2 linked regions of the Elephas maximus indicus genome follow. Each later gene encodes a partner of the first gene's protein in a complex. Links are inferred from orthologs where the notes say so. Each region holds a gene or a part of one and is shown in the gene's direction. Other genes may lie near its edges. The genes, in order: PEAK3 and YWHAB.

Region 1 (15,340 bases):
CAGAACCAACTCAATGGCACCTAAAAACAATGGAACAATTTAGGAGTTCCTGGGTGGCACAAATGGCTAGGGGTTCAACTACTGGCTGAAAGGCTGGCAATTCAAACCCACCCAAAGGCACCTCAGAAGATAGGCCAGGTGATCTGCTTCCAAAAGGTCATAGCCTTGAAAACCCTGTGGTCTCAAAAAAAAAAAAATTGAGCTACCATATGACCCAGCAATTCCACTCCCAGTTATATACCCAAAAGACTTGAAAGCAGAGATTCAGACAGAGACCTGTACACCAGTGTTCACTGTAGCACTATTCACAATAGCCAAAAGGTGGAAACAACCTAAATGCCCATCAGAAGACAATGGATAAACAAAATGTGGTACACACATACAATGGAATACTACTCAGCCAGCAGGAGAAATGAAGTCTTGATACGTGCTACAGTATGGATGGAGCTGGAAGACATTATGCTGAGTGAAATAAGTCAATCACAAAAGAACAAATATTATATGAACTCATATAAAAAGACAAAAACAGGCAAAGATACAGAGACCAAAGTTTCTTAGTGGCCACCAGTGGCAAGAAGGAAGGCAGAGGAGGGGTTATTGTTTATGAAGCACTGAGTTTCAGTTTACTGTGATGGATAAAATAGCATTAAGGATACAGCTGCACGGCCAATTAGTGTAACTGCTGTCAATAAGTTGTACACCCGTAAAAAGTTGAATTGGCAAAAGTTGTGTGATAGACATAGTTACAACAATGACCAAAAAAAAAAACAAGTAGGTACTGAGGCTGCTTATGTAGAACCAAACACCTCACGGGATTCGATTCCTTGGCTTGAAGGTTTAGGGTCATGGTTTCCTGAGACATCCCAGTTAATTGGCCTAGTAAAGCTTTTAGTGTTTCTGTTCTACTTCCCAGGTCATCGCTTAGGGCCTGGGATCTTAAAAACATGCAAGTGGCCACCCAAGGCACAACAATTGGTCTCTATTCGCCTGGAGCAACAGAGGAAGGAGGGGAGTCAGGAACAGGAGGAGGACAGAGAATGTGTGGCTAACTGGCTCCAGGAACAACTGCCTCCTTTGCCATGAGACCAGGAGAACTGGATGGTGCCTGGCTACCTTTACTGAACATTTTGATCAAGGATTCTATAGAGGAATCCTGATCAAATGCGGGAAAATGCAGAACAGAATTTCAAATTCTCATGGACTCCAGACTTTCTGGACCCGTGGAGATTGGATGAATCCCTGAAACTATTACCCTGAGATAATCTTTAAATCTTAAACCAAAAATATCCCCTGAAGTCTTCTTAAAACAAAATAGCTTGTGTCTGCCTTGAGCATTGTGCTCTTTTAAGATCTATGTATATGGGATCAAATTGACAACAGCAGCTGTAAAGATTAAATGGGAACCTTAGGAGGCAGTGAGCTTATGTTCACAGAAGAGGAACCACCCAGAAAAGGAGGGTGAGAATGATTGCACAACCTAAAGAATGTCATTAATGTCACTGAATTGTACATAGAGAAACTGTGAAGTTGGCCTATATTCTGCTGTGTATATTCTCAATGACAAAAACAAAATAAGTTATTAAAAAAAAAAAAGTATAAAGTACTTGTACTCCCCCATGCATCTGTCAGTTTGTTATACTGTGGGGACTTTCCTGTTTCTGTGATGCTGGAAGCTATGCCACCAGTATTCAAATACCAGCAGGGTCACCCATGGTGGACAGGTTTCAGCTGAGCTTCCAGACTAAGACAGACTAAGAAGAAGGAACCGGCAGTCTACTTCTGAAAAGCATTAGCCAGTAAAAACCTTATGAATAGCAGTGGAACACTGCCTGATATAGTGCTGGAAGATGAGCCCCCCAGGTTGGAAGGCACTCAAAATACGGCTGGGGAAGAGCTGCCTCCTCAAAGTAGAGTCCACCTTAATGACGTGGATGGAATCAAGTTTTTAGGACCTTCATTTGCTGATATGGCACCACTCAAAATGAGAAGAAACAGCTGCAAACATCCATTAATAATCAGAACCAGGAATGTACGAAGCATGAATCTAGGAAAATTGGAAATCGTCAAAAATGAAATGGAATGCATAAACATCGATATCCTAGCATTAGTGAGCTGAAATGGACTGGTATTGGCCATTCTGAATCGGACAATCATATAGTCTACTATGGTGGGAATGACAACTCGAAGAGGAATGGTGTTGCAGTCATCGTCAGAAAGAACCTTTCAAGATCTATCCTGAAGTACAACGCTGTCAGTGATAGGATAATATCCATACGCCTACAAGGAAGACCAGTTAATACGACTATTATTCAAATTTATGCACCAACCAGTAGGGCCAAAGATGAAGAAATAGAAGATTTTTATCAGCTGCTGCAGTCTGAAATTGATCGGACATGCAATCAAGGTGCATTGATAATTACTGGCGATTGCAATGGGAAAGTTGGAAACAAAAAAGGAGTGGTAGTTGGAAAATATGTCCTTGGTGACAGAAACCATGCCAGAGATCAAATGATTGAATTTTGCAAGACCGACAACTTCTTCATTGCAAATACCTTTTTTCAACAACATCAATGGTGACTATACACAGGAATCAAATCAACTACATCTGTGGAAAGAGTTGAAGGAAAAGTCCAATATCATCAGTCAGAACAAGGCCAGGGGCTGACTGTAGAACAGACCATCAATTGCTCATATGTAAGTTCAAGTTGAAACTGAAGAAAATTGGAACAAGTCCATGAGAGCCAAAATATGACCTTGAGTATATCCCACCTGAATTTAGAGACCATCTGGAGAATAGATTTGATGCACTGAACACTAATGACCGAAGACCAGTCGAGTTGTCAAATGACATCAAGGACATCATACATGAAGAAAACAAAAGGTCATTAAAAAGACAGGAAAGAAAGAAAAGACCAAAATGGATGTTAGAAGAGACTCTGAAACTTGCTCTTGAATGTTGAGTAGCTAAAGCAAAAGGAAGAAATCATGAAGTAAAAGAGCTGAACAGAATATTTCAAAGGGCAACTCCAAAAGACAAAGTAGTATAATGACACGTGCAAAGACCTGGAGATAGAAAACCAAAAGAGAAGAACAGGCTCAGTATTTCTCAAGCTGAAAGAACTGAAGAAAAATTTCAAGCCTCAAGTTGCAATAGTGAAGGATTCTATGGAGAAAATGTTAAATGATTCAGGAAGCATCAAAAGAAGGTGGGAGGCAAGAAGATAAAATACTTAGGAATAAATCTTACCAAGGATGTAAAAGACCTATACAAAGAGAACTACAAAGCTCTACTACAAGAAATTCAAAAGGACATACTTAAGTGGAAAAACATACCCTGCTCATGGATAGGAAGACTTAACATAGTAAAAATGTCTATTCTACCAAAAGCCATCTATACATACAATACAATTCCGATCCAAATTCCAATGTCATTTTTTAAGGTGATAGAGAAACAAATCACCAATTTCATATGGAAGGGAAAGAAGCCCCGGATAAGCAAAGCACTACTGAAAAAGAAGAAGAAAGTGGGAGGCCTCACTCTACCTAATTTCAGAACCTATTATACAGCCACAGTAGTCAAAACAGCCTGGTACTGGTACAACAACAGACACATAGACCAATGGAACAGAATTGAGAACCCAGATATAAATCCATCCACATATGAGCAGCTGATATTTGACAAAGGACCAGTGTCAGTCAATTGGGGAAAAGATAGTCTTTTTAACAAATGGTGCTGGCACAACTGGATATCCATTTGCAAAAAAATGAAACAGGACCCATACCTCACACCAAGCACAAAAACTAACTCCAAGTGGATCAAAGACCTAAACATAAAGACTAAAACGATAAAGATCATGGAAGAAAAAATAGGGACAACCCTAGGAGCCCTAATACAGGGCATAAACAGAATACAAAACATTACCAAAAATGACGAAGAGAAACCAGATAACTGGGAGCTCCTAAAAATCAAACACCTATGCTCATCTAAAGACTTCACCAAAAGAGTAAAAAGACCACCTACAGACTGGGAAAGAATTTTCAGCTATGACATCTCCGACCAGCGTCTGATCTCTAAAATCTACATGATTCTGTCAAAACTCAACCACAAAAAGACAAACAACCCAATCAAGAAGTGGGCAAAGGATATGAACACACATTTCACTAAAGAAGATATTCAGGCAGCTAACAGATACATGAGAAAATGCTCTCGATCATTAGCCATTAGAGAAATGCAAATTAAAACGACGATGAGATTCCATCTCACTCCAACAAGGCTGGCATTAATCCAAAAAACACAAAATAATAAATGTTGGAGAGGCTGCGGAGAGATTGGAACTCTTATACACTGCTGGTGGGAATGTAAAATGGTACAACCACTTTGGAAATCTATCTGGCGTTATCTTAAACAGTTAGAAATAGAACTACCATACAACCCAGAAATCCCACTCCTCGGAATATACCCTAGAGAAACAAGAGCCTTCACACAAACAGATATCTGCACACCCATGTTTATTGCAGCTCTGTTTACAATAGCAAAAAGGTGGAAGCAACCAAGGTGTCCATCAGCGGATGAATGGGTAAATAAATTGTGGTGTATTCACACAATGGAATACTACGCATCAATAAAGAACAGTGACGAATCTCTGAAACATTTCATAACATGGAGGAATCTGGAAGGCATTATGCTGAGCGAAATCAGTCAGAGGCAAAAGGACAAATATTGTATAAGACCACTATTATAAGATCTTGAGAAATAGTATAAACTGAGAAGAACACATACTTTTGTGGTTACGATGAGGGGAGGGAGGGAGGGAGGGAGGGAGGGAGAGGGTTTTTTACTGATAATTAGTAGATAAGAACTGCTTTATGTGAAGGGAAGGACAACACTCAATACATGGAAGGTCAGCCCAATTGGACTGGACCAAAAGCAAAGAAGTTTCTGGGATAAAATGAATGCTTCAAAGGTCAGTGGAGCAAGGGCGGGGGTTTGGGAACCATGGTTTAAGGGGACTTCTAAGTCAATTGGCCAAATAATTCTATTATGAAAACATTCTGCATCCCACTTTGAAATGTGGCGTCTGGGGTCTTAAATGCTAACAAGCGGCCATCTAAGATGCATCAATTGGTCTCAACCCACCTGGAGCAAAGGAGAATGAAGAACACCAAGGCCACACTACAACTAAGAGCCCAAGAGACAGAAAGGGCCACATGAACCAGAGACCTACATCATCCTGAGACCGGAAGAACTAGTTGGTGCCGGGCCACAATCGATGACTGCCCTGACAGGGAGCACAGCAGAGGACCCCTGAGGGAACAGGAGATCAGTGGGATGCAGACCCCAAATTCTCACAAAAAGACCAAACTTAACGGTCTGACTGCGACTAGAGGAATCCTGGTGGTCATGGTCCCCAAACCTTCTGTTGGCACAGGACGGGAACCATCCCCGAAGACAACTCATCAGACATGAAAGGGACTGGACAGTGGGTGGGAGAGAGATGCTGATGAAGAGTGAGCTAATTATATCAGGTGGACACTTGAGACTGTGTTGGCATCTCCTGTCTGCAGGGGGGATGGGAGGATAGAGAGAGAGGGAAGCTAGCAAAATTGTCACAAAAGGAGAGACTGGAAGGGCTGACTCATTAGGGGGAGAGCAAGTGGGAGTAAGGAGTAAGGTGTATATAAACTTATATGTGACAGTCTGACTTGATTTGTAAACGTTCACTTGAAGCTCAATAAAAGTTAATAATAAAAAAAAAAGAAGGTGAGAGGAAGACACAGAGTGACTATACTAAAAATAATTGGTAGATGTCCAGCCAGTTCAAGAGGTAGCATATGAGCAGAACTTGATGGTACTGAAGGAAGAAGTCCAAGCTGCACTGAAGGCATTGGGGAAACACAAGGCTCCAAGACCTGATGGAATATCAGTTGAGATGTTTCAACAAACAGATGCAGAGCTGAAAGTGCTCACTCATCTGTGCCAACAAATTTCGAAGACAGCTTCCTGGCCAACTGACTGGAAGAGATCCATATTTATGCCTATTCCCAAGAAAGGTGATCCAACCGAATGCGGAAATTACCGAACAATATCATTAATATCACATGGGAGTACAGTTTTGCTGAAGATCACTCAAAAACGGCTGCAGCAGTGTATCGACAGGGAACTGCCAGAAATTCAGGCCGGTTTCAGAAGAGGACGTGGAACTATGGATATCATTGCTGATGTCTGATGGATCCTGGCTGAAAGCAGAGAATACCAGAAGGATGTTTACCTGTGTTTTATTGACTATGCAAAGGCATTCGACTGTGTGGATCATAACAAATTATGGGTAACATTGTGAAGAATGGGAATTCCAGAACACTTAATTGTGCTCATGAGGGATCTGTACATAGACCAAGAGGCAGACATTGGAACAGATCAAGGGGATACTGTGTGGTTCAAAATCAGGAAAAGTGTGTGTCGGGGTGCATGCTTTCACCATACTTACTCAATCTGTATGCTGAGCAAATAATCCGAGAAGCTGGACTATACGAAGAAGAACGGGGCATCAGGATTGGAGGAAGACTCATTAACAACCTGCGTTATGCAGATGACACAACCTTGCTTGCTGAAAGTGAAGAGGACTTGAAGCACTTACTGATGAAGATCAAAGACCACAGCCTTCAGTATGGATTACACCTCAACATAAAGAAAACAAAAATCCTCACTAGACCCATAAGTAACATCATGATAAATGGAGAAAAGATTGAAGTTGTCAAGGATTTCATTTTACTTGGATCCACAATCAACAGCCGTGGAAGCACCAGTCGAGAAAGGAAAAGATGCACTGCATTGGGCAAACCTGTTGCAAAGGACTGCTTCAAAGTGTTGAAGAGCAAAGATGACACCCTGAAGACTAAGGTGCGCCTGACCCAAGCCATGGTATTTTCAATGACATTATATGTGTGTGAAATCTGGACCATGAATAAGGATGACCGAAGAAGAATTGACGCCTTTGAATTGTGATGTTGGTGAAGAATGTTGAACATACCGTGGACTGCCGAAAGAACGAACAAATCTGTCTTAGAAGAGATACAACCAGAATGCTCCTTGGAAACAAGGATGGTGAGACTCTGTCTCACATACTTTGGACATGTTGTCAGGAGGGATCAGTCCCTGGAGAAGGACATCATTCTTGGTAAGGTAGAGGGTCAGCCAAAAAGAGGAAGACCCTCAACAAGATGGAGTGACACAGTGGCTGCAACAATGGGCTCAAGCATAACAATGGTTGTGAGGGTGGCGCAGGACCGGACAGTGTTTCGTTCTGTTGTGCACAGGGTCGCTATGAGTCGGAACTGACTCGACGGTGCGTAACAACAACAACAATCTTTACAGATCGTCAGTTCTTTCTCCCATGGAGCTGCTGCGTGAATTTGAACCACCGACCTTTCAGTTAGCAGCTGAGTGCTTAACCATTGTGCCATCAGGGCCCCTTCTGCCCGTGGTAACCACCAATAACTTTGGCCTGCTCGCTTTTGCCTATTCTGGATATTTCCCAGAGGTGGGATCCTACAATATTTGTCCTTTTGTGTCTGGCTGTTTTCACTCAGCGTCATGTTGTCAGGTGAACCATTCACTTCCGGGTCTCTCCCAGTCTCTTCCTTCTGCCTGGAATGCTGTTCCTTCTGCTTCCTGCCCTGTGAGGGCAGGTGGGGGTGTGGGCCCCGGGCTGGGGAAGTACTGCAAAAAGGGCCCCGCCCTCCCCCTGGGCCTTGGCCCGCGGTCAAACCGTTGCCCAGATGTTTCCCGTTCTCGACATCGGGCAGACATCCCTGAGGCCACTGGTTGCAGCTGCTGGAAGTTGGCCCTAAGGACCGCCCCCCCACCGGCTGGTCACTTGAAACCTGTTCCAGGCTCCTGTCCTGAGGTAGGGGGCTCCTGGGGGGGTGGGCTGCGGTAGGGAATGGCAGAACGGGCAACTTTCTCAATCTGGGGTGAGCTGGAGTTGGGGGGTGGGTGCCTCCCTTCGTGGCCCACCCCCAGCTGTCCTCTGGCAGCCTGGCCTCGGTGCTGCCGTCCGTCCATGTCCCTGGAGGCTGATGGTGACATTGTCACACATGCAGAATGACCCCAGAGTGGCTACAGAGCCACCCAGGGTGCCACAGCAGGGTAAGGGGGCAACAGGAGCCAGAGTTAGGGTCTCGTACTCTCACCTAGGGCCCTGTCTCTCCCTCCATGAACCTTGCTCACATCCACCTGCATGCACCCACGGACACCCTGCACACACCCACTCCTATGCGCCCCAACTCCAACTTTCCCCTGCAGCATGAGCAGCCCCGAGCCACCCGCCGAGACCCTCGCGCCCGACATCCCCACCTGGTCAAAGGAGCCCACGTACAGCAATCTGGGTGAGTGACTTAGAGGTGGCTGGGCGCAGCAGGGTGGGGCCACCCACTTGTAGAAATGAAACCGGGGCTCAGAGAGGGGCAGTCACACAGGAAAATGGGGTTACCTGGCGCTAGGCAGGGCCTGTCGCTCCGTGAGCCTCAGCTTCCTCATCTGCACACTGGGGATGGCATCCAGTGCCACCGTAACAAACTCCGTAAGTGGTGGCTTTAACGCACAGAACTGGGGGAAGGCTTTCTCTCTCTGTTGGCCCTGGGGGAAGGTTCCGGTCTTCAGCTTGTTTCCTGGTTCCCTGGAGATCTCTGTGTGGCTTGGCATCTTCCCCCATCTCTGCTTGCTTAACCTGCCCTTCTGTATTTCGTAAGAGATTGACTCAGTAAACACCCTCCACTAACCCTGCCTCATCCGGATAACAAGACAACCCATTCCCAAATGGGATTATAACCACAGGAGTAAAACCAAAAACCAAACCCATTGCCCTAGAGTTGGATCCAACTCATAGTGACCCTACAGGACAGAGTAGAACTGCCCCACAGGGTTTCTGAGGAGTGGCTGGTGGATTCGAACTGCCAACCTTTTGGTTAGCAGCTGAGCCTTTAACAACTGCACCACCAGGGCTCCAACCACAGGCATAAAAAAACCTGTTGCCATCAAGTCGATTCTGACCCATAGGGACCCTACAGGACAGAGAGGAGCTGCCCCATAGTGTTTACAAGGAGTGGCTGTTGGATTCAAACTGCTGACCTTTTGGTTAGCAGCCAAGCTCTTAACCACTGCACCACCAGGGCTCCAGCCACAGGCATAGAGGTCAGGATTTACCACACTTATTTTGGGGGGACACTATTCAATCCATAACACCTGCATTTCCTGGGGCTTCTGTAACGAGGTACCACACACACTGGGGGGCTTGAAACAACAGATTTGCTCTGTCTTCATTCTGGAGGCCTAACATCTGAAGTCAAGGTGTCGGCAGGGTTGTGCTCTCTCTGAAGGCTCTAGGGAAGGGTCCTTCCTTGTCTCTTCCAGCTTCTGGTGGCCTTGGGCGTTCCTGGACTTGTGGCTGCATCACTCCAGTCTCTGCCTCTGTCCTCACGTGGCCGTCTGCCCTCTGTCCGTATTTCTTTCTCCTTTCTCTAGTTAAGACAATAGCCATTGGATTTAGGGCACACCCTAGTCCAGGAGGAGTCTGCTTAATGCGCTTGGCTGTTAACCAAAAGTTTGGAGGCTCAAGTCCACCCAGAAGAAAGGCCTGGCAATCTACTTATGAAAACCCTGTGGGGCACGGTTCTATTCTGACACACGTGGGGTCACCATGAGTTGTAACTGACTAGACAATGACTGTTTTTTTGGTGTTTTTCTACTTTAGTCTGACCCCATTTTTAACTTAATTAATGATGTCCACCAAGACCCTGTTTCCAAACTAGGTCATGTTCACAGGTACTGGAGTTTAGGACATCAGCATGTCTTTTGGGAGGACACAGTTCAGCCCAGAACACCATCCCTACCCCATGGGGCATGGGGGAGTCACATACCATTATGATTCCCATTTTAGAGGTGGGACCATCGAGGCCGAGGGGCTGAGTCAGGTGTCCTGGGTCCCACACACCTGACATCCTCACAGCCCTCCCTCTTCCACAGGTGAGATCCGCACCCACCTGTTACCCTCCAAGGCCTGCCGCCTCCGAGCACTTGGGTCCCCCTCGGATGACCTGAAGCCCCCACCCCTGCCCAAGAAGACCCTTACTCGAACCAAGTCCCTGCCCACCTACGGGACCCCTGGCCCCAGCCCTGCCCACGCCAGGCAGCCTCGGAGGCCCCTCCTGGGGTCCCGCAGCGTGGACAAGAGCCAGGAGGCTGAAAACAGGGTCAGCCCAGCCAGTTTCCTCGAAGAGCTGACCTTCAGCACGCCGGACACTGAGCTGGGCTGCTTCTTCCAAGACCTGAACAACCTGGAGGCAGTGCACGACACACTCGCCGCCCGGCAGCTGGCCAGTCTCAGCACCATCCATGCCCGTCTCCACACCCGGCTCTTGGGGGGCCACCCTGGGCCCTGCAACCCCAGCCACAGCTTCCGCCTTCTGGACGACTCACCCTACGTGGACAGCGGGGACGCCATCTACTACCGCGTGGTTCGCGTGAACAAGGACGCCTGGCACATCCTGGCCGCCAAGGTGAGCACAGGCTACCCCATGCTGGGGTGGCACCCAGCTTTGCCTCACCCCCAATTTTCCATCTTAGGCACAACCCATAACCCATGTTCAAAAAAAAAAAAGAATTGCCATCAAGCCGACTCCGACTCATGTTCTCTTACAAGGACTCCACTCATACTGGAAAGGTTATAGGTTTGAGCTCATCCAGAGACACTCAGAAGAAAGGGCTGCCAATCTACTTCAAGAAAACTGAGCCACTGAAAACCCTATGGAATGGACTTCTACTCTAACATGCGTGGGGTTGTCATGAGTTGGAGTTTGGTTTTCCTATTGGATTTGGGGCCCCCCTGCCTACAGTATGACTTCAAGTTAGCTGATAAAATTTTCAAAGACGTTATTTCCAAACAGGGTCGTGTTCACAGGTACTGGGGTTAGGATTTCAGCCTATCTTTTTTGGGGGGACACAATTCACCCCATAACAAATACCCACACCCAGAACCCCACCCTAGCAGCTATCATTTTTAAATGCCACCTCCAGGTGATTCTAACGTAATCCCCAGAGCTGATGTCCTCTTGACCTTCTAGAGCTTCGCTATCCAGTGCCAAGGTCCCTGACCACACGTGGCTGTGGCTATGGAACACTTGAACTGTGATCTGTCGGCATTGAGATATATGATAAATTGAAACTACACATGAGATCTCAGAGACTTAGTGAAAAAAAAAGAAAGAAAGAAGGGAGAGGGAGGGAGGAAGATAGGGAGGAAGGAAGGAGGGAAGAAAGGAAGGGAGAAGAAGAATGTAAAACAGCCCATTAATAAGCCTGCTTGCTAACCAGAAAAGGTCGGCAGTTTGAACTCACCCAGCAGCTCTGCAGGAGAGAGTCTTGGTGATCTGCTTCCATAGAGATTTTAGCCGACAGGAGCTCCAAGTCCATCAGATGGGAAGAAGACAGCCTTTTGAACAAATGGTGCTGGCAAAACTGGATGTACATCTGCAAAAAAATGAAACAGGACCCGTACCTCACACCATAGACACAAAAACTAATTCAAAATGGATCAAAAACCTAAATATAAAGCCAAAAACTATAAAATTGATAGAAGAAAAAATAGGATCAATGCTAGAGGCCCTAATACACAGCACTAACAGGATACAAGCCATAACCAACAACACACACACTCCAGAAGATAAGCTAGATAACTGGGATCTTCTAAAAATTAAACACACTCATCAAAAGGTTCACCAAAAGAGTAAAAAGAGAACCTATAGACTGAGGAAACAGTTTTTGACTATTACAGATCAGACAAAGTTCTAATCTCTAAAATCTACAGGAAAATCCAACACCTCTACAGCAAAAAGACAAATAACCCAATTGAAAAATCGGCAAAGGAAATGAACAGACACTTCACCAAAGAAGACATTCAAGTGGCCAACAGGCAGATGAGGAAATGCTTGCGATCACTAGCCATTAGAGAAATGCAAATCAAAACTACGATGAGATACCATCTCACCCCAGCATTACCAGCACGAATCAATAAAACAGGAAATAACAAATGTTTGAGAAGCTGCTGAGAGATTAGAACTCTTATGCACTGCTGGTGGGGATACAAAATGATACAACTATTGTGGAAAATGATATGGCACTTCCTTACAAAGCTAGAAATAGAAATATCATATGATCCAGCAATCCCACTCCTAGAAATATATCCTAGAGAAATAAGAGTTGTCACACGAATAGACATACGCACACCCATGTTCATTGCAGCATTGTTCACAATAGCAAAAAGAGGGAAACAACCTAGATGCCCATCAGGAGGTGAATGGATAAACAAACTATGCTACATACACATGATGGAATATTATGCAACGATAGAGAACAATGATGAATCTGCAAAGCATCTCACAACATGGACGAATCTGGACGGCTTTATGCTGAGTGAAATAAGTGATCATGAAAGGACGAATATCGTATGAGACCACTACTGTAAAAACTCATGAAAAGTTTTACATGCAAAAAGAAATAATCTTTGATGGTTACAAGGGAGGGGATGGACGGGGGGGATGGAAAAACTCTAAATGGACAATAGATAACTGGTAACTTCGGTGGCTTTTATTGACTATGTAAAGTCATTCGACTGTGTGGATCACAACAAAGTACAGATAACATTGCAATGAATGGGAATTCTAGAACACTTAATTGTGCTCATGAGGAATCTTTACATAGATCAAGAAGCAGTCATTTGAACAAAACAAGGGGATACTGCATGGTTTAAAGTCAGGAAAGGTGTGCTTCAGGGTTGTATCCTTTCATCATACCTATTCAATCTGTACGCTGAGCAAATAATTTGAGAAGCTGGACAATATGAAGAAGAATGGGGCATCAGGATTGGAGGAAGACTCGTTAACAACCTGTGTGATGCAGATGACACAACCCTGCTTGCTGAAAGCGAAGAGGACGTCAGCCTTCAGTATGGCCTACACGTCAACATAACCAAAACAAAAATCCTCACAGCTGGAGCAACATCACGATAAACGGAGAAAAGACTGAGGTTGTCCAGGGTTTCATTTTACTCGGATCCACAATCAACAGCCATGGAAGCAACAGCCAAGAAATCAAAGGACGCATTGCATTGGGCAAATTGACTGCAAAAGACCTCTTCAAGGTGTTGAGAAGCAAAGACGTCACCTTGAGGACTAAGGTGCCCCTGACCCAAAACACAGTGTTTCCAATTGCCTCATACGCACGTGAAAGCTGGCAATGAATAGGGAAGACTGAAGAAAAGCTGACGCCTGTGAATTATGGCGCTGGCAAAGAATACTGAATATACGATGGACTGCCAAGAGAACCAACAGATCTGTCTTGGAAGAAGTACAGCCAGAACGCTCCTTCAATTGAGGATGGTGAGACTTTGTCTCACAAACTTTGGATGTATCGTAAAGAGGAACCAGTCCCTGGAGAAGGACATCATGCTTGGTAAAGCAGAGGGTCACCGAAAAAGAGGAAGACCCTCAAGGAGATGGATTGGCACGGGAGTTGCAACAGTGGCCTCCAGCATAGCAACGATTGTGATGGCAAAGGACCGGGCAGTGTTTTGTATTGTTGTGCACAGGGTTGCTATGAGTTGGAACCGACTCAACAGGACCTAACAATAACAACTTTGGTGAAGGGTAAGACAGTACACAATACTGGGGAAACCAGCCCAACTTGTACAAGACAAGGTCATGGAAGCTCCATAGACGCATCCAAACTCCCTGAGGTAGAGAATTGCTAGGCTGAGGGCTGTGGGGACCGTGGTCTCGGGGAACATCTAGCTCATTTAGCATAACATAGTTTATAAAGAAAATGTTCTACATTCTACTTTGGTGAGTGCCATCTGGGGTCTTAAAAGCCTCTGAGCGGCCATCTAGGATACTCCACTGGTCTCAACCCTTCAGGAGCAGGGGAGAATGAAGAAAACTAAAGATACGAGGGAAAGATCAGTCCAAAGGACTAATGGACCACAGCTACCATGGCCTCCACCAGTCTGAGTCCAGTACAACTAGATGGTGCCTGGCTACCACCACTGACTGCTCTGACAGGGATCACAATAGAGGGTCCTGGACAGAGCAGGAGAAAAATGTAGAGCAAGATTCTATCTCACAAAAAGAGACCAGACTGACTGACCTGACAGAGACTGGAGAAACCCTGAGAGTATGGCCCCCGGCACCCTTTTAGCTCAGTAATGAAGTCACTCCTGAGGTTCACCCTTCAGCCAAAGCTTAGACAGGCCCATAAAACAAAACGAGACTAAAGGGGCACACTGGCCCAGTGGCAAAGACTAGAAGATAGGAAGGGACAGGAAAGCAAGTGAGGAACCCAAGGTTGAGAAGGGAGAGTGTTGACATGTCGTGGGGTTGTCAACCAATGTCATAAAACAATGTGTGTTTTACTGTTTACTGAGAAGATAGTTTGTTCTATAAACCTCATCTAAACAACAACAAAAAAAAAGTCAAGTGAAATTAAAAAAAAAAAAAGGTTACAGCCTAGAAAACCCCATGGGGCAGTTCTACTCTGTCACATGGGGTCACCACGAGTCAGAATCAACTTGACAGCAACTAACGACAATAATGAGCCATTGAAATGATAATATTTTGGACACATTGGGTTCAGTAAAATATACTAAATTACTTTCACCTGTTTTTCTTCACTTTTTTTTAACGTGGTTACTGGACAGTTGTAAACCGTATGTGTGGCTGCGTTGTCTATCCATCGGACAGCCCGGCGCTGGTACAGGAGCTGCTGGGCCCCTCGCTCCCAAGCAATCAGCAACGACCCACCCCTTGGCCAGCAGGAAACTGTGACCTGCTAGCCACCCCCTTCCCTGGCTGAAAACACCAGTTGCCGGGGAGCTGACCCCAACTCATGGCGACCTCACGTGTATCACAGTAGAACTGTGCTCCACAGGGTTTCCAGTGGCTGCTTTTTTGGACGTAGATTGTCAGGCCTTTCTTCTGTTGCACTCTGGATTGACATGAACTTCCAACCCTTGGGTTAGCAGCTGAGTGTGTTAACTCGGTATCCCAGGGGCTCCCTCCCTAGTTCGCATGCACACACACACACACACACACACACACACACATACACAAACCCATTGCTGTCGAGTCGATTCCAACTCATAGTGACCATATAACACAGAGTAGAACTGTCCCAAAGGGTTTCCAAGGCTGTAATATTTATGAGGAAACCCTGGTGACATAGTGGTTAACTGTTAAGGCTGCTGACCAAAGGGTTGGCAGTTCAAATCCATGAGGAGCTCCTTGGGAACTCTAT
Region 2 (15,898 bases), on another chromosome or scaffold:
TAGTGAGCCAGCAATGGCCTTGGATTTCCCAGTCTCCCTTATACAGAGAAGAATCCTGTCCCAGCCCCAGTTATTGTGTTCCTATTCCACCATTGTATATGGGGTGTGCCGGGGGCAGGTAACTTTGTCTTTTTGTTCATAGGCCATCATACTAGAGGAGCCACCTCCAGATCTGATGGACAGGATTCATAACCTAGATATCCTGGACTTCGAATGGTATTTGGAGGTCAGCTCCCTTGTGTGGGAGAAAGACTGCATAAGGGCATACTGTAAACAAAACAATTTGTTGTCTCTCTATATCCTGCCTCCCCTTGTTCCATAGTTAAGAACCCACCATGTTTACCTAGGCTCATGGTCCCCTAGAATAAACACCAAATTGCACAGCCTCCCTTATAGCCAAGTGTGGCCATGTTACTGAGTTCTGTCCAAAGAGCTGTAAATTAGACAATCACATAGCAACTTCTAGAAAACGTCCTTAAAAGGCAGCTGGTTGTACCCTAATTCTCCCCCTTTTTTCATGGTCTTTTCCTCCTTCCTGCTGGCTGAGGTGCAGATGTGATGGCAGGAGCCAGAGCAGCCACTTTGGACCATGAGATGAGCTTGGAAATGGCAACTGCACAAAGTAACAAGATAGAAGGAGTCTAAGTCCTAGAAGTCTTCACGGTACAAATGACCAAATTGCCCCAAACCTCCTATCTCCAACTTTCACAGGAGAGGGGAAATAAAAGTTTCTAACTTGTTTGAGTCACTGATATTTGGCATCTCTGTTATTATTAGTCAAACCTAACCCTATCTGATACAATAACCAACTATTGAGGATTCATACTCTCTACAAGCAGTTGGAAAGAAACAGATCTTTTCTTTTGTTGTTGCTATTAGTAGCAATAAATTTTGCTGTTAGTACCAATAACACTAAAATTTTATGTTTGGAAGTGATTCAGTGTACTTGAAAAAAAAAAAAAGACTGGAGTTAGAAGACCCAAGTTCTAGTCCCATTTCTATAGCAAATTGTGTGCTCTTGCATAGTTCCCTCATCAGTAAAATGAACGTTTGGGAGAGGAAGTAGAATCACCAAAAAACATATAAAAAATTGCTTACCTTCTTCTATGGCAATAAGAGAAATGCAAATTAAAACAAGCAGATACAATTTCACACAGATCAGATTCACAAATTCAAAACGCCTTTTAATTCTAGGTGTTGATGTGGGTACGGGGAAAATCAGCATTTTGCTACAGTGTTGACGGGCATATTACTAGGTACAACCAATGTAATTTAACCACTTTTAATAAAGCTGAAAAATGTACACATTTTGTGATCTAGCAGCTCCACTTCTAAATATACATCCTAGAGACACTCCATGAGCTGCTCCAGGGTCTTCACTGCAGTGTTGAGCAAACAACCTGTAACATCAATGTGTGTTATAGAAATGCAATCAATAAATACATTGTGGTATATTCAGGCAATGGAGTAATGTCACAACAGTGAAAATCAACCAGATCGGTAAATCTAAATGTGTTAAGTCTTAAGAACTTAACGCTGCATGAAAAATGTGAAGAGCACAATGATCCACGCAATAAGATGGCATTCGTATAAAACTGTAAAGCCCACAAAGCAACTCTATGTATTGTTCATGGATATATACCCCAAAAAACCAACCCAGTGCCGTCGAGTCGATTCCAACTCATAGCGACCCTGTAGGACAGAGTAGAACTGCCCATAGAGTTTCAAAGGAGCGCCTGGTGGATTCGCACTTAACCACTACGCCGCCAGGGTTTCCATGGATATATACATATGTGGTAAAAATATTAAAACATGGTAGGAAAATATACATAACCAATCTCCTTGAGGAGAGAGGGAGAAGAACAAAGTAGGAAAGGATGTAAAAGTGATTTCAACTTCATTAGCAATTGTGATGATTAAAGTTGTGTGTCATCTTGGCTGGGCCATGATTCTCAGTGGTTTGCCATGATGTAGTTTGGCAGTTACGTAATGATGTAGTCATCCTCCATGATGTGCTCTGATGTGATCAGCCAGTGAATTGTAAGGGGAATTTCCTCAGGAGTGTGTCCTGCATCCAATATGTATATATGGATATTCTGGCAAAGTTCTCTTGCTTGCTCTGGATCCTCCATCTGGCTCGTCATCATCTGACCTTCAGTGCTTGGGACTTGAGTGAGTGACCTGCTGTACTGCCTGCCAGTCTTGGGGTTTGTCACTCTCTGCAGCCTGTGAGTCAGTGGCCTGCCATCGTACCTGGTGTCATGGATTGAATTATGCCCCCTAAAAATGTATCAATTTGGTTAGGCCATGATTCCCAGTATTCTGTGGTTGTCCTCTATTTTGTGATTGTAATTTTATGTTAAAGAGGATTAGGGCAGGATTGTAACACCCTTACCTGGTCACATCCCAGATCCAATGTAAAGGGAGTTTCCCTGGGGTGTAGCCTGCACAACCTTTTATCTCTCAAGAGATAAAAGGAAAGGGAATTTAGCAGAGGGGGGGTACCTCATAGCACCAAGAAAGCAGTGCCCGGAGCAGAGCGTGTCCTTTGGACCCAGGGTCCGTGCGTAGAGAAGCTCCTAGTCTGGGGGAAGATTGATGAGAAGGCTGACAAAGAGAGAAAGCCTTTCCCTGGAGCTGATGCCCTGAATTAAGATTTTTAGCCTACTTTAGTGTAAAGAAATAAATTTCTCTTTGTTAAAGCCATCCACTTGTGGTGTTTCTGTTATAGCAGCACTAGATGACTAAGACACCTGGTGATCTTGGATTCGCCAGCCTCTGCAGCCCGTGAGCCAGCTACCTGACCTGCTGATCTTGGGTTTGTCAGCCCCTGCAGCTATGTCAATCAGGAGAGGCCTCCAGCCTGAGCCTGACCCACAGACTTGGGACTTCAGCCTCTACAACCAAGAGAGCCATTTCCTTGAGATGAATCTAAATCTCTCTCTCTGTCTATATATATATATATATAATTGATATAATTGGCCTTCTATATCCATGGGTTCTGTATTGGCGGGTTCCAAACCTGTGGATTCAACCAACAGTGAATCGAAAATATTAAAAAAAAAAAGTGATGTGTAGGCATCCCCTGCTGTGCCTGCCAGCCATTTCACAGACCCTCAGTCTCTCTCCAGCACTTGGTATTTGAGCACCGTTCACCTCACGTCTGATGTGTACCATGTAGTTAGGCCTACAATGGTTGCGTCTGTACTGAAGATGTACAGACTTCTTTTTTCTTCTCATTTTTCCCTAAACAATACAGTATAACTACTTACATAGCATTTATATTGTATTAGGTATTATAAATAATCTAGAGATGATTTAGAGTATACAGGAGGATATGTGTAGGTTATATGCAAATTCTATGCCATTTTATAAAAGGGACTTGAGCATCATGGATTTTGGTATCTGTCAGGGGTCCTGGAACCAATCCCCCGTGGATACCAAGGGATGACTGTATATATACTTCACTGGTTTTGCTTGTCTAGAGAACTTAGCCTAAGACACTATGCAATAAAAATATATTATTTAAAATACAGCAGGTGTTTTCCTACTTAAATGCTAAAAAATATCGCTCTTAAAATACACACATAAACATCCAATAAACTAATGGTTCTTTTTGCCCAGCTGGTACTCCGAAGAAGGAGACTGGAGGCGGATCGTTCTGTGAACTTTCCAAGGCTAGAGAGGAAGTACTGAAGCGTGACAAGTCCTTGTCACTTTCTCTGCAGGTAGAAATTGTCAGAGCCTAGACACCTTGTAAAACTTATTTCTGGTTCAGCTATCATAAAATGGAAATGCAGATTCATAATATTTTTTTTTTTTTTACATTACTGGTGCCTACCTTTCCAATGACCTCATCTACATGAGAACAAAGGAGATTATAGGACCAAAATTCAGTTCTGTGAGTCTAGGAGAACTCTAGTACTCTTGACACAGCCTACCCTTTACCCTTGTCTGGCGAAGTTAATGTGAGGTATGGGAACTCCGTTTCTGATTACACTTACAGGTCTTTCTGAGTCAGGATCTCAGCCCTGTTTTATTAAAATGAAGTCAAAATTGGCATTATGGATACCAAAGACCTCATGCGTAGGTTATATGCAATATTATAACTCATGCCAGTTGCTATGTCAGACTACCACGAAATTTCAACTTCTTATTCAAACCAAACAATAGCCCTCCTGTCTTTGAAATTTACTTTTGACCAGAGTGAAAAGGGCCAGGCTCTCTGATTCAGTGCTTGGTCCCCAGCTTCCTATGTGCCAGGCAGTTACGGTGGTAGCACTAGGAGTGCCAGTAGCAGCCCCAACTTCTCAATCACAGCTATGGGGACTTCGAAACAAGTTTCCCCTGACGTCTGCTACTCTAGCAGCTCTGATGGTGCAGTGATTAAGCGCTTGGCTGCTAATTGAAAGGTTGGCAGTTTGAACCCAGCAGCTGCCTCGAGGGAAAAAGATGTAGCAGTCTGCTTCTGTGAAGATTTACAGCCTTGGAAACCCTGTGGGGCAGTTCTGCTCTGTCCTTTTGGTTGCTATGAGTCAGGATCAACTTGACCAACATGTCTGGTTTTGGGTTTTCTGCTACTACAGCTCTTCCAATTAGTTTGTAAGCATCTAATCCCCCTATTACATTCCTTTCTGCTTAAAATACCTACCATGGTTTCTGTTCCTGTATTCAGGACAGAACCTTGACTGGCGGCAGGTTTAAAAATAATATACAGAAAGTAGAGCCAAAGACAAAAGATGAAAAACAGAAGAAAGGAAAAAAGAATAATAAAATTAAAGAACCAGTTCAGACAGCCAAACATCTGAATAACTGAAGTTCCAGAAAGTGAAAATATAGAAAATGGGGACAGGAAGGGAGGGAATCGTCAAAGAAATATTTTACAACATCCCAGAACCAAAGGAAATGGGTTTTCATGCTGAAAAGATCACTGAGGAACAATTAGACAGTATGTGTCTCCTGATATGATGCCAGGGGAAATACACAGTCCCATGTATAAAATATTCGTACCAAAAAAATTGAAGCAGAATCTACTCAAGCCTCTAGATCTAAGTACCAGTCTACAAGACATATAAGAGATAGTGTAACATTCTAAAAACACCACTAGGGTCCAATCAGCCACATCTAAAAAAAAAAAAAACACATCTAGGCTATGAGAAACTCTGTAAAATAATTTACACAGTTTCTTCAACAAATAAATTATATAAGAAAAGGAGGAGGAGGGGAAACTACTACAGATTAAAAGAGATTTAGCAACCAAATGCAACATGAAGGCCTAGTTTAAATCCTGATTCGAATAAACCAACATAAAAAAGGTATTTCTGAGACAATCAGGAAAAAAAAGTAAGGAATTATTAATAATTTCCTTAAGTGTAATAATGGAATTATGCTTATGTTTTTTTTAAAAAAACTGATCTTTTAGAGCTACATACTAAGATATTTATGAATGCAATGATATGTTTGGGATTTGCTGTAAAATATTCCTGCCCCCTCCCCCGCAAAAATGTGAGAAATTGATAGAATAGTAAAATAAAGCTGGATTATGGATATACCTGGTGGTTTACTGTACTTTCTACTGTACCCTCTAGTTTTGTGTTTATTTGAAATTTATCATAATAAAAAGAAAAAGAAAGGAAGGAGGGAAGGAAGAAGAAAAGAAGAAAAGAAGGAAGGAAAAAGAAAGGAAATACACTAGCTGTCTCAAGTTTATTCTTATGAGACAAGCTACCAACTGAGAGAGTATCTTAAGAAACCATATATTCAACAAGAACCTAACAACAACCAAAATATATATAAAACTTCACCAATTTAACAACAGAAAGACAAATAACCCAACCACAGAATGGGCAAAGGACTTGAATAGACATTCTCCAGAGAGGACATTCAAGTGGCCATCAATCACATGAAAAGATGCTCAGCATCATTAGCCGTCAGAGATATGCAAATCAAAATCACAATGAGATACCATTTCACTCCCACTAGGATGGACAAGATAAAAGAAAAAAAAAACAGGAAACAACAAACGTTGGTGAGGATCTGGGGAAATTGGAATCCTTATCTATCATTGGTGGGGATGCAAAATGGTGGTGAGCTGGGTACCTACTAACTGTTGTAAAACCTTTTTCCTTTATGCAAAATGTTGCCACTTTTCTTTTTTAATACTGCCTTGGACTCAATAAAAAATCTTTGTGGAATTTAAGGCTCATGTATCACCTCTTTTAGCAAATCTTTCCTGATCTTCTAATATATCCCCAAACTTTACCCAGGCTTCTATAAGACCACGCACATATATATTTCCATGATTTTCATTTACCACATTATATTTTAATATCTCTTTTGTGTCCCTATCAGATAATACACTTTCAACTTTAAATTAAAAAAAAAAAATCTGCCACAAGGTGACTTAAACTTTAAGGAAATTTGTTATTTCACGTACGAGCAAGTCTAGAAAGACCGTAGTCTTTAAAAAAGGGTTGGTCAATTCAGAAGTTTATCACTGTTATCCAGTACGCAGATTCTACCGCTCTGTTCTGCATCATCATCAGGCTGCTAACAAGGAGGCAGCAGCATTTCCGAGCTTCATATTCAGACATAATAATGTCTGTTTTGGATTGGATTGTGTCCCCAAAAAAGATATGTTGAAGTCCTAACCCCAGTTACCTATGAATGTGACCTTGTTTGGAAACAGGATTTTTGAAGGTGTTATCAGTTAAATTAACATGAGGTCATACTGGAGTACCCAAAAACAAACACCCAGTACCCTCGATACTGGAGTAGGGGGGCTCTAATGCAATCTGAGTGGTGTCCTCTTTATACAACACATAAAGAGAAGAAACATAGACAAGAGGAAGACAACCATGTGACAATGGCACTATGCTACAGCTTCAAGCCAAGGAACTCCTGGGACTTCCAGAAGCTGAGCAAGACCAGAAAGGGTCTTCCTCTAGAGCCTTCGGAGAGCATGGCCCTGCCGACACCCTGAACTTGGACTGCTAGCCTCCAGAATTGCGAGACAATAAATTTCTGTTCTTATAAGTCATCCAATCTATGGTGCTTTGTTACATGGGCCCTAGGAAATGAATACCTTCACCGAAAACACAGTAAACTTTTTCCATAAAAGGCCAAATAGTAAAAAGACTTTATGTGCCATACTGTCTCTGTTGCAACAACTCTGCCTCTGTAACACCAAAACCGCCATCAACAATACGTAAACAAATGAGAAGGCCGTGTTGTAATAAAACCTTATTTACAAAAACAGGCGCTAGGTAGAATTTAAGGGAGCTTTTTTTTGGTGGCATAATCGTTTGGCTCTCAGCTGCTAGTCGAAAGGCTGGTGGTTTGAATCCACCGGCTGCTCCACGGAGAGAAGAGCCTTGGAAATTTGTTATTTTGATCTGTTCCTGTAAAGATTTCAGCCCAGGAAATCCTATGGGGCAGTTCTACTCTGTCCTATAGGGTCGCTATGAGTCGGAATCAACTCGATGGGCACACAACAGGTAGAATTTAGCCCATGGGCTGTTGTTTGCCCACACCTGGCCTTTTTGGGCCTAGAATGCAGAGCTGGTGAAAAGAGCTAATCCATGTAACATCTGCAGGCACCCAGGGATGCCCGGCAAAGGACACTTCTCTTCCCTCAAGGCACTGATGACGTCATTTGTGGGAGTAATCAGCTTGAGTCCTCTGGCCCACTAGGCTGTTTTCTGGATGGGGGCATGAGGTACAGTCATGTGACATTAACACTTCAATCTGAGCAGCCTCGGGATTACTGGTGTTTGGCTGCCAAAGACTGATCCCCAGAGAGGTTTTTCCACTAGGAAACCTCACTACGGTTCAAATTTAGAGGTTTTGAAGTTAAACCTACTCTGTGTACACCATACAACAGTGTAGAATGTGGGTAGTACAGGGGTCACTGACACAAATTCCTACAAAACAGGCAACATAAATGAGGAAAGCAGGCTCAGGTGGGGAGGGGACCCCTTGGAAAACCCATACGTAATATAGCAAGGGCACTCTTCGGCTTCAGCCAATTATTGCCACACAGAAATGTGGACCCAGAGCTGTCCAACAAGGAAGAAATGCCAATTTCCAAGTGAAATCTGTTTGTAAAAAACATTGGCAACTAATTCAAACTGTTTAGAAATACTGGACATGGCATACTGGAAGGATAAGAGGTCATCCGATAAAACTGGGGTGTTTCAGACGTGGAGAAATAGGAGGTAAAGGCTGAAAGTAAGGCAGCTTCTGGAGAAGGTTGATTGTCACACTAAAGGAGCTTACATATTGTCTTCTAGGTCTGAGCAGTCACCAAAAGATTTAAGCAAGGAAAGCACGCATTAGAACAGCATTTTAAAAATATCACTCTGGCAGTTGATGAGTGCATGGCTGGGTAATGAATTAGGTGGTTATCACTATAAAAAAAAGGGTAAAGGACATGGAGGACAGTACTATTCTGATACACATGGGGAACTGGTTAATTTTTTTTTTTTTTAAAGGAGAGACTTTGGAGGCCTACTTACTTTTTACCTTCTCCTACCCGACTGTAAACTCCCGTGTGTCTTATTCACTGCCACGTCCCCAGCGCTAAGCACAATACCTGGCAATATGGTAGGTGCTTGATAAATATTTGTTGAAAAAAATGAACAAGCGGGAGGGAACGCAGGCAAGAGGAGTTTTGAAGAACTGGGTTTAAGGGTCACCTGCCTCGGAGGAAGAGAATGTTGCGTGAGAGCTGTCAAGGGAGTTGCGAGCCTTGGGAGGCCCGTTTCCTTCTCTTAAGCTTCCTCCCCGAGCCTTGGGGAGGGATATCTCAGTGAAGCGATCGCACGCACTGCGACCTTCGCCATCGAAACCTGGCGCTTTACGTGGCCTCTTCCGTTTATGAAAGGGGGAATTAAGCACCTTGATAGGGTGAAGGGAGGATTAAGTGACAATTTAGGGGATGAGCAATTTCTGTTCTTCACTTGGTCCTGCCTTTTCAAAGCACACAGGAAAAAGGGATGGGCCTCAGCCTCCGACCTCGTGAGGATTACTTTGGGGTGGAGTGGGAACCGATGACTGGAGTCTCTGGGCTGGTCCAGGCGAATTCCCAGCCTAGGTAGAGAGAATAACCCTGATGCCCCCATTCCACCTAAACCCAGTCCCGTCTCCCTGTCCTTGTTCCCACAGATCCCTTTCTCCGACCCTCGCTCTCAGCTCCGCCCTCTACCCTCCCTCCCGCTTCTTCTTCCCGCGCCCCTCGCTTCCCCCCATTTCCGTCCCCTTCCCCTTCTTCCTCCGCGCTCCCACCCTAGGCCCACCGCACTTCCCCGCCCAGCTGCATCCCGCTCCCCTTCCTCCAGCCTCCAGCCAGTGCCCCTCCCGCGAGGCCGGTGCAACCCCGTGCCCCGCTCGCCCAATGACGAGACGGCGCAGGGGCGGGGAGGGGCTTGGGCCGGAGCGGAAGTGGCGACCGGAGCGGAAGTGGAGCTGCCGCCACCCGCCGCCGATTCCGGAGCCGGGGTAGCTGCCGCCGCCGCTGCCGTCGCCGCCTGAGAATTGGGGTTGGGAAGGAAGCGGTCATCGCGCTCTGAGCTTCGCTGGGAAGTGTCTTTGCTGCCTGCAGTCCTCCTACGGTGAGTGCGCGCCGGGTCCGCCCAAAGCCCCTGGGAACCCAAGCCTGAGGCTCCTTTTCGGCTCCGGCGGCCGCGCGGGTGGGCTCCGGCGAGAGCCGAGCGGCCTTCTAGGTCCCGCGCGGCCGCCTGCGGTGCGGGCCTGTTCTCACCGCGGCCCCTCCCTGCTTCCGGGGCCGGGCCCTTTGCCTCCTCGAGCGGCGCGGGCCTCCCTCGCCTCCTGCGGCCCTGCCCTGCCCTGGCGGCGGGGTGCGGTTCCATGCTGAGCCGGCCAAGACCGCCGACCGTGGACCCGGGGCCCTCCCTCTCCAGCTCCGATCCCCGCGCGACCCCTCCCTTCGCCGCAGGCGGCGAGAGCGGCCCCTTTCAGCTCTATCACCTCCTCCTCCCTGTTTTCCGGTTTCCAAAAATTGAGATATAACCAAATACGGGCGAGTTCTCGAGCCCCGGGGCCCGTGCATCACTCTCTTTGGATGAGTAAGGGGTTTAACCTTGGGAGACAGCGGGGGGGAAAACCCCCTCCCACTTTGCAGTAAAGCCATTTCATCGTCGTTCATTGGTTATGGAGCCTGGGAGGACCCGAGATTAACCCGGGAAGCACTGGGCTGAGGTTTTGAGTTAAGAAAATGCATTTGTTGGAACCGGTTACTGAGTTAGGTGGAATCCCCAGGGGGAAAAAAAAAATTATCAAAGGCTGGGAATCCAAGCATTTTCCCACAGCATTTACCTTCATTTAATGCTCAGGTATTTTGTGTCCTCCCCCGAAATTCCCCCATACTGTATGAGAGCATGTTTTTTGGTCTGAAATTTGCTTGGTGGCCTCCCTGGTGGTGAGGAAGGAGTGGACATGATTTGTGCCCCTTTTTTTCAGAAAATAAATACACCCTTGTCTATTGCAAATGGAGAACTCGCACGTAACGGGGCTTTCAAAGGTGGCAGTATTGGTAAGACAATTTGCCAACCTTTCGATAAAAATCATGTCTCTTGTGCTTGCCCTCACTGCATTTCTCTTTGTTAAGGCTAGGTAGCATCAAGCTCTGATTTTACTTGGCCTGTGTGGGAGATGGAATTTGGCAAGACGATGTCATGATCATAGAAAATCAGACAGCCACAGAAGCCAAAGCAGAAAGGTGAAGGGCTTGTAAGAATATGAAAATCGTCTGGACTTCTCTCTCTGTCTCAAATGTTCGGATGCAGTGTATAGAACATAACGCTGTTTATAGAATTGGATATGTATGCGGCTACTTAGCTTTTTGCGTTTTCCTTTTGGAAATTTATAAATATTAGTCCTTAATGAATTTTTTCTTGACTGCTTCTAGTACACCCATTTCTTTTTTGGGGATGGATATCAGTGGTCTGAGCCCCTCATTTTTCTAGAATTCATGCCCTTAGCAGCCCATGTTGTGGTGAGGGGAAAACCTATCGGTTTTACTGGACACAAGTGAGAATTTAAGTGTGGCTTTCAAAACGGAAGGCTGATGATCCAGTGGCAGCTGCTGAATTATTTTCCTAATCTTTCGTTTCAGTGAGATAAGAAACCATTCACTCATCTTACAGATGCAGTCTTTATGAAAAATGAGGCGATTTGGCCTAGGCCACACACCTAGTTTTTAGATTGAATATCCTCATTCATCGGTAGCAAATATTTATGGACTGTCAGTCCCAGGAGTATGGCTCCTACCCTATAATCTTCTGTACATTTCCCATCATGCAGTGCCTGTGTTAAGTTGAAGCCATTTTAGAATTGGAGCTCTATAGATCAGCTAGGCAGGCTCCATAAAACAGGCTGGGCAAATTCCCATGATGCTAGTTCCCTAGGCTGTGTCTCCGGAGATTTGGAACTGCAAAAAGTGCGTTTTGCCCATTTGGCTGTGTGGATACAGAAGCGAAAAGAGCAGTGAACCTGGAGTCAGAGAAATCTGATTCAGGTCTTGCCTGCAGCATTTTCTAGCTGTGTGAACTTCAGCTTATTACTTAAATCTCTGGTTCTTAGTTTCCCTATCTGCAGAGTTGCCATGAGGCATTTTTACAACCTGTAAATTGTTAAATATAAGCTTTTGGTTTTGTTTTTTAACCACAGTGTTCACTGCTAATGGCTTTTTTCTTCAGTTGTAACCTGATGAAACCGAACCCTCTTGTACACATGTTGCTTTCAAAAAATATTATTGTAGAACTTTATTTTGTATATACCATTTCTGGTCTTTCCGAGCCCATGTTCTCATCTGTACAACGGGAATGGTAATGTAGTCTTAGCTGGGTTGTTGCGGCGAATCCAATAATTAAAATAAGTATCTGGCACATAGTAGTAAGTGTTTGATGTTATTCGATCATGTATTCATGAACACAAACACACAGAAACATGTATGTAGGTAGATGTATGTATGCATTCCATCTATTTGGGATTTATTTATCAACCGATGAGGTAGCATCAGGCATAGCTACCGCTTATCACTTACAATGTGACAAGCTTTGCTGTAAGCACTTTACACATATAAACTCAGTCCTTATAACACCCAACAATAGATAACTCTGTTAGCCTCATTTTACAGAAGAGGAAACGCAGGCACAGAGAAGGTAAATAATTTTCCCAAGGTTACACAGATGGTAAGTGCTGGAGCCAGGAATCAAACCAAGGCAGTCTGGCTCCAGGGAATGATAGATTTCTAAGTGTGGTAGAACAACACATGCATTTTCTTCTTGTGAACACCGTTTAGTCCTTAGTTTTTCTCTGCATGTATTCTACTAAAATAGATGTGTTTGAACAGGAATTTTAACTATTTTTGAATATATAATTTATTGGGAGGAAATATCTCCACCCTAGGGAGCGCTGGTGGCACAGTGGTTAAGTGCTCAGCTGCTAACTGAAAGGTGGGCAGTTCGAATCCACCAGCTGTTCTGCAGGAGAAGGATGTACCAGTCTGCTCCCATAAAGATTATAGCCTTGGTAACCTTATGGAGCAGTTCTCCTCTGTTGTATAGGGTCTCTGTGAGTTGGAATCGACAAGATGGCGACGGGGTACGGGTATCTCCATCCTGGCGCGTAGGGATCCCTTAATACTGCTGGTGTACATTAGTAACAAGCCTGTGAAAAATCCAGTTTTTCTAGTACTTGCTTCATACTTAGGGAAAAAGCTCATCAGTTACTTTGTGGCACATGGATTTATCCATCCCTAGCTTCTTCATCTTAGGGAATTTGGTCAGGATCATCGTTATTTATTTCTGTTTATTATATTGCTTTCCCTGTAGACTTTTAGACTTCCCATATTTTGTTGAGGAGGAGGAGATGAGGGACTATATCTATGTAAGTAGAAAGCAAGTTCTAAATTATAACATCCTGTTATGCTGCCTGTTCTTTCATTGGCATCAAACTATGAGGATACCTGAGAGCACGAATTAAAATTTACTTGTAAAGGTGCTTTAAGTTCCTTGGTTTCTGTGTTTTTCTAAGGGAGGCGACAATTCACGCTAGCCCGGGTAAGAAATTACATAATAGCAACTTTCAGGCTTTGAAACCACTTGGCTGTCTACGTGAAGATGGTCCTGGTAGTCATCTACATGGAGCCCTGGTGGCGCAGCCCTGGGCTGCTAGCCAAAAGGTCGGCAGTTGAATCCACCAGCGACTCCTTGGAAATCCTATGGGGCAGCTCTACTCTGTCCTATAGGGTCGCTGTGAGTCGGGATGAACTCAGCCGCAACGGGTGTGGTTTTTTTGGTTTAGTCATCTACGCGTCATGATGGAGAAACTAGCAGTTGGAGCTGGAATCTGAGGGAATTTTTCTAAGGTTGATACTGGAGGAGGAAAATCAGACTAATGTGCAGTTTTTTGTAATATGTGTACTACAAACCACTCATCCTGCCGCTTTCTCAGCTAAAAGAACTCCAATCAGCATAGTTCATGTAGTTCTGATACTTGGAATGAGATGGAAATGATTGGTGGCCTATTTTGCCTCAAAAGAACAAGTCATTCTGAGCTGACTGTAGGTTAGGGAAGATGATTTAAAAAAAAAAAAAAAACTGGCTAGTCCTCTTATGTAAGTTTTTTCCTGTACTGATTAGTTTATTTCATTGTTTTTCCAAAGAGACCGGACAAGAAAAGTTATTTCTGAGTGTCCTTGATGCCTTGACGAGGACGAGGAGCCCTGGTGGTGCAGTGATTAATCGCTCGGCTGCTAACTGAAAGGTTGGTAGTTCGAACGCACCAGCTGCTCAGACGACGGAGAAAGATATGGCAGTCTGCTTCCGTAAACATTTACAACTTTAGAAACCCTACGGGGCGACTCTGCTCTGTCCTAGAGGGCCACTATGAGTCAGAGTCGACTCAGTGGCGACCAGTTTGGTGTTTGCTTTTGACCAGGGCAAAGAGATCAAAGGCTATAATAAAGTAGATATGAGCCCTCTCATTTGTTATTATTTGCCTTAAAGTTCGTTTGACAGTTTGATAAGTTTTTGGCATATGCTATTTTTAACTTAATTTTATTTTGGTTTTTTTAAGCTAGTTATACTAAAATTTCAACTGTAGTAACTTTACATGACTCTTGAAAAAATTGTCTAGTCCATCTTTTCCGTTAAGTAAGTATTGGAGTTATAATTGATGTTTAGGAAATAGTGAAGCATACAGGAAAGAGCATTAATTTTAAAATGAATGTTGTTTTAGATCCCAGCTCTGCTGTATGTGGCCGTGTGTCCCTGGGCAGGTTAACTCCTGGCATCTGTAATAGGGGTCTCCTTCTTAGATACTTAGGATTACATGAACTATTATAAACTCCTCAGTGCTTGGCACTTCAGGTGGATTTTAAATGGTGGATATTTTGGTTGTAATTATTTACTAAGCCAGTTAGCTGATATGACTTTCTGTATAGCTTAGTAGTTGGATTTTTTTTTTAATCATGGTAAAACATGTATAACATTTGCCATTTTAACCATTTTTGAGTGCATAATTCAGTGACACTAATTACCTTCATTGCTCTGTCCTCTTGGAAACCCTGGTGGTGTAGTGGTTAAGAGCCACAGCTGCTAACCAAAAGGTCAGCAGTTCCAATCCACCAGGCGCTGCTTGGAAACCCTATGGGGCAGTTCTGCTTTGTCCTATAGGGTTGCTGTGAGTCGGAATTGACTCGATGGCAACGGGTTTGTTTTCTTTTTTTAATTGCCTTCTTCATGTTGAGCAACCATCACCAAATGCTTTTCATCATCCTTAACCGAAACTGATTGGATTTTTGAATCTATAAATATAATGATTAGTAGCTGAGGAATATTAGTTTAAAAAAAAAAAAAAAAGAAGGGTAGCGTTGCCTCCTGATTAGAGCTGAGATGGCTCTTTTCAAAAAGGAGTCTAAGGCAGACAATAGATACAGTCTGTATTTTACAGATAAAATATGGTCTGCCTCTTTCTGTCTACACAGGAAAATCAGCCTTCTTCACCTTTAAAAAAAAAATGCATCAATTGATCAAATAGTTTATATTCAACGGGCAGGCATTGTGCTACACATTGGGTGTTCAAAGATGAAAGCCTGAGTCCCTGCCTTAAGCCCACAGTCCAGTGTGGGAGCCAACAGAAACGTTTGAAGTAAACTGTGATAAGCGTTATTTTATAAGTAGGCGTAGATAAGTTAACATGTGTGCTTTCTTTTAAAAGTCTCTAAAAAAAGCAGCCTGGATTTACAAGAAAATGAGGTACGTAATAAGCGTCCCTTAACTGGGGCTGACCATTTGTTCGTTAGCCTTTTGTATGCAATATACTGTGGCTGCCACTTGAGCTCTTACAGTGTGCGGAAACTGTATTAAATGTTTCGCTTCATGAACTCATTTACTCTTTCCAAGAACCCTATTAAGTAGATTGGCCTGTTTTATGGATGAAAAAACTGAGGCTCAAAGAGGGCAGGTATTCTAGAGCTACCTGGGACTGCCCCATATAGAAGTGGCATGTGGTGCTGGTAAATTGGACAGGGTCATTCCATTATATTGGCGAGTCTGAAGCTTTTTTTTTTTTTTTAATTGGTTACCTTGCCCCCCATTACTGCACAGGCTTCATTTGTTTGTTTGGGCCCCAGGCTTTTGACACCACTTTACAAGATCAACAGACGGGCTGTTTTTATGGAACAGAATGAGCATATTGTCTTTTTGGATTGATCAACCCGGGGATCAATTTATTGTCGTATCTGTTGTTGATTCCCATTGTGTGACCTTGGCAAATCACGTAACACCTCCACCGTTGTTTTCAGTGTAACCTTGAGCATTTGGACATCCCTTTAGCAATGATACTCAACAACTGATACAAAAGAGGTCAAGGG

The links.
Region 2: the proteins of PEAK3 (region 1) and YWHAB are in contact, whole or in part, in a cryo-EM structure (PDB 8DP5), measured with the Homo sapiens proteins. The link is inferred for Elephas maximus indicus from reciprocal best matches to the Homo sapiens genes PEAK3 and YWHAB. Residues at the interface, in NP_940934.1 of Homo sapiens: Arg66, Thr67, Gln68, Ser69, Leu70, Pro71, Thr72, Arg73; in NP_003395.1 of Homo sapiens: Val48, Lys51, Asn52, Arg58, Lys122, Arg129, Tyr130, Gly171, Leu174, Asn175, Val178, Glu182, Ile219, Leu222, Asn226, Leu229, Trp230.

Annotation. Positions count from the first base shown.
Region 1 is NC_064821.1:3,061,318-3,076,657, reverse strand, and holds the start of PEAK3 (protein PEAK3), read left to right. Parts: upstream 1-7,815; 5' UTR 7,816-7,904; intron 7,905-8,302; 5' UTR 8,303-8,303; coding exon 8,304-8,385; intron 8,386-10,021; coding exon 10,022-10,554; intron 10,555-15,340.
Region 2 is NC_064843.1:24,486,059-24,501,956, reverse strand, and holds the start of YWHAB (14-3-3 protein beta/alpha), read left to right. Parts: upstream 1-9,452; 5' UTR 9,453-9,611; intron 9,612-13,702; exon of another isoform or gene 13,703-13,788; intron 13,789-15,898. UniProt on the Homo sapiens protein: Adapter protein implicated in the regulation of a large spectrum of both general and specialized signaling pathways. Binds to a large number of partners, usually by recognition of a phosphoserine or phosphothreonine motif.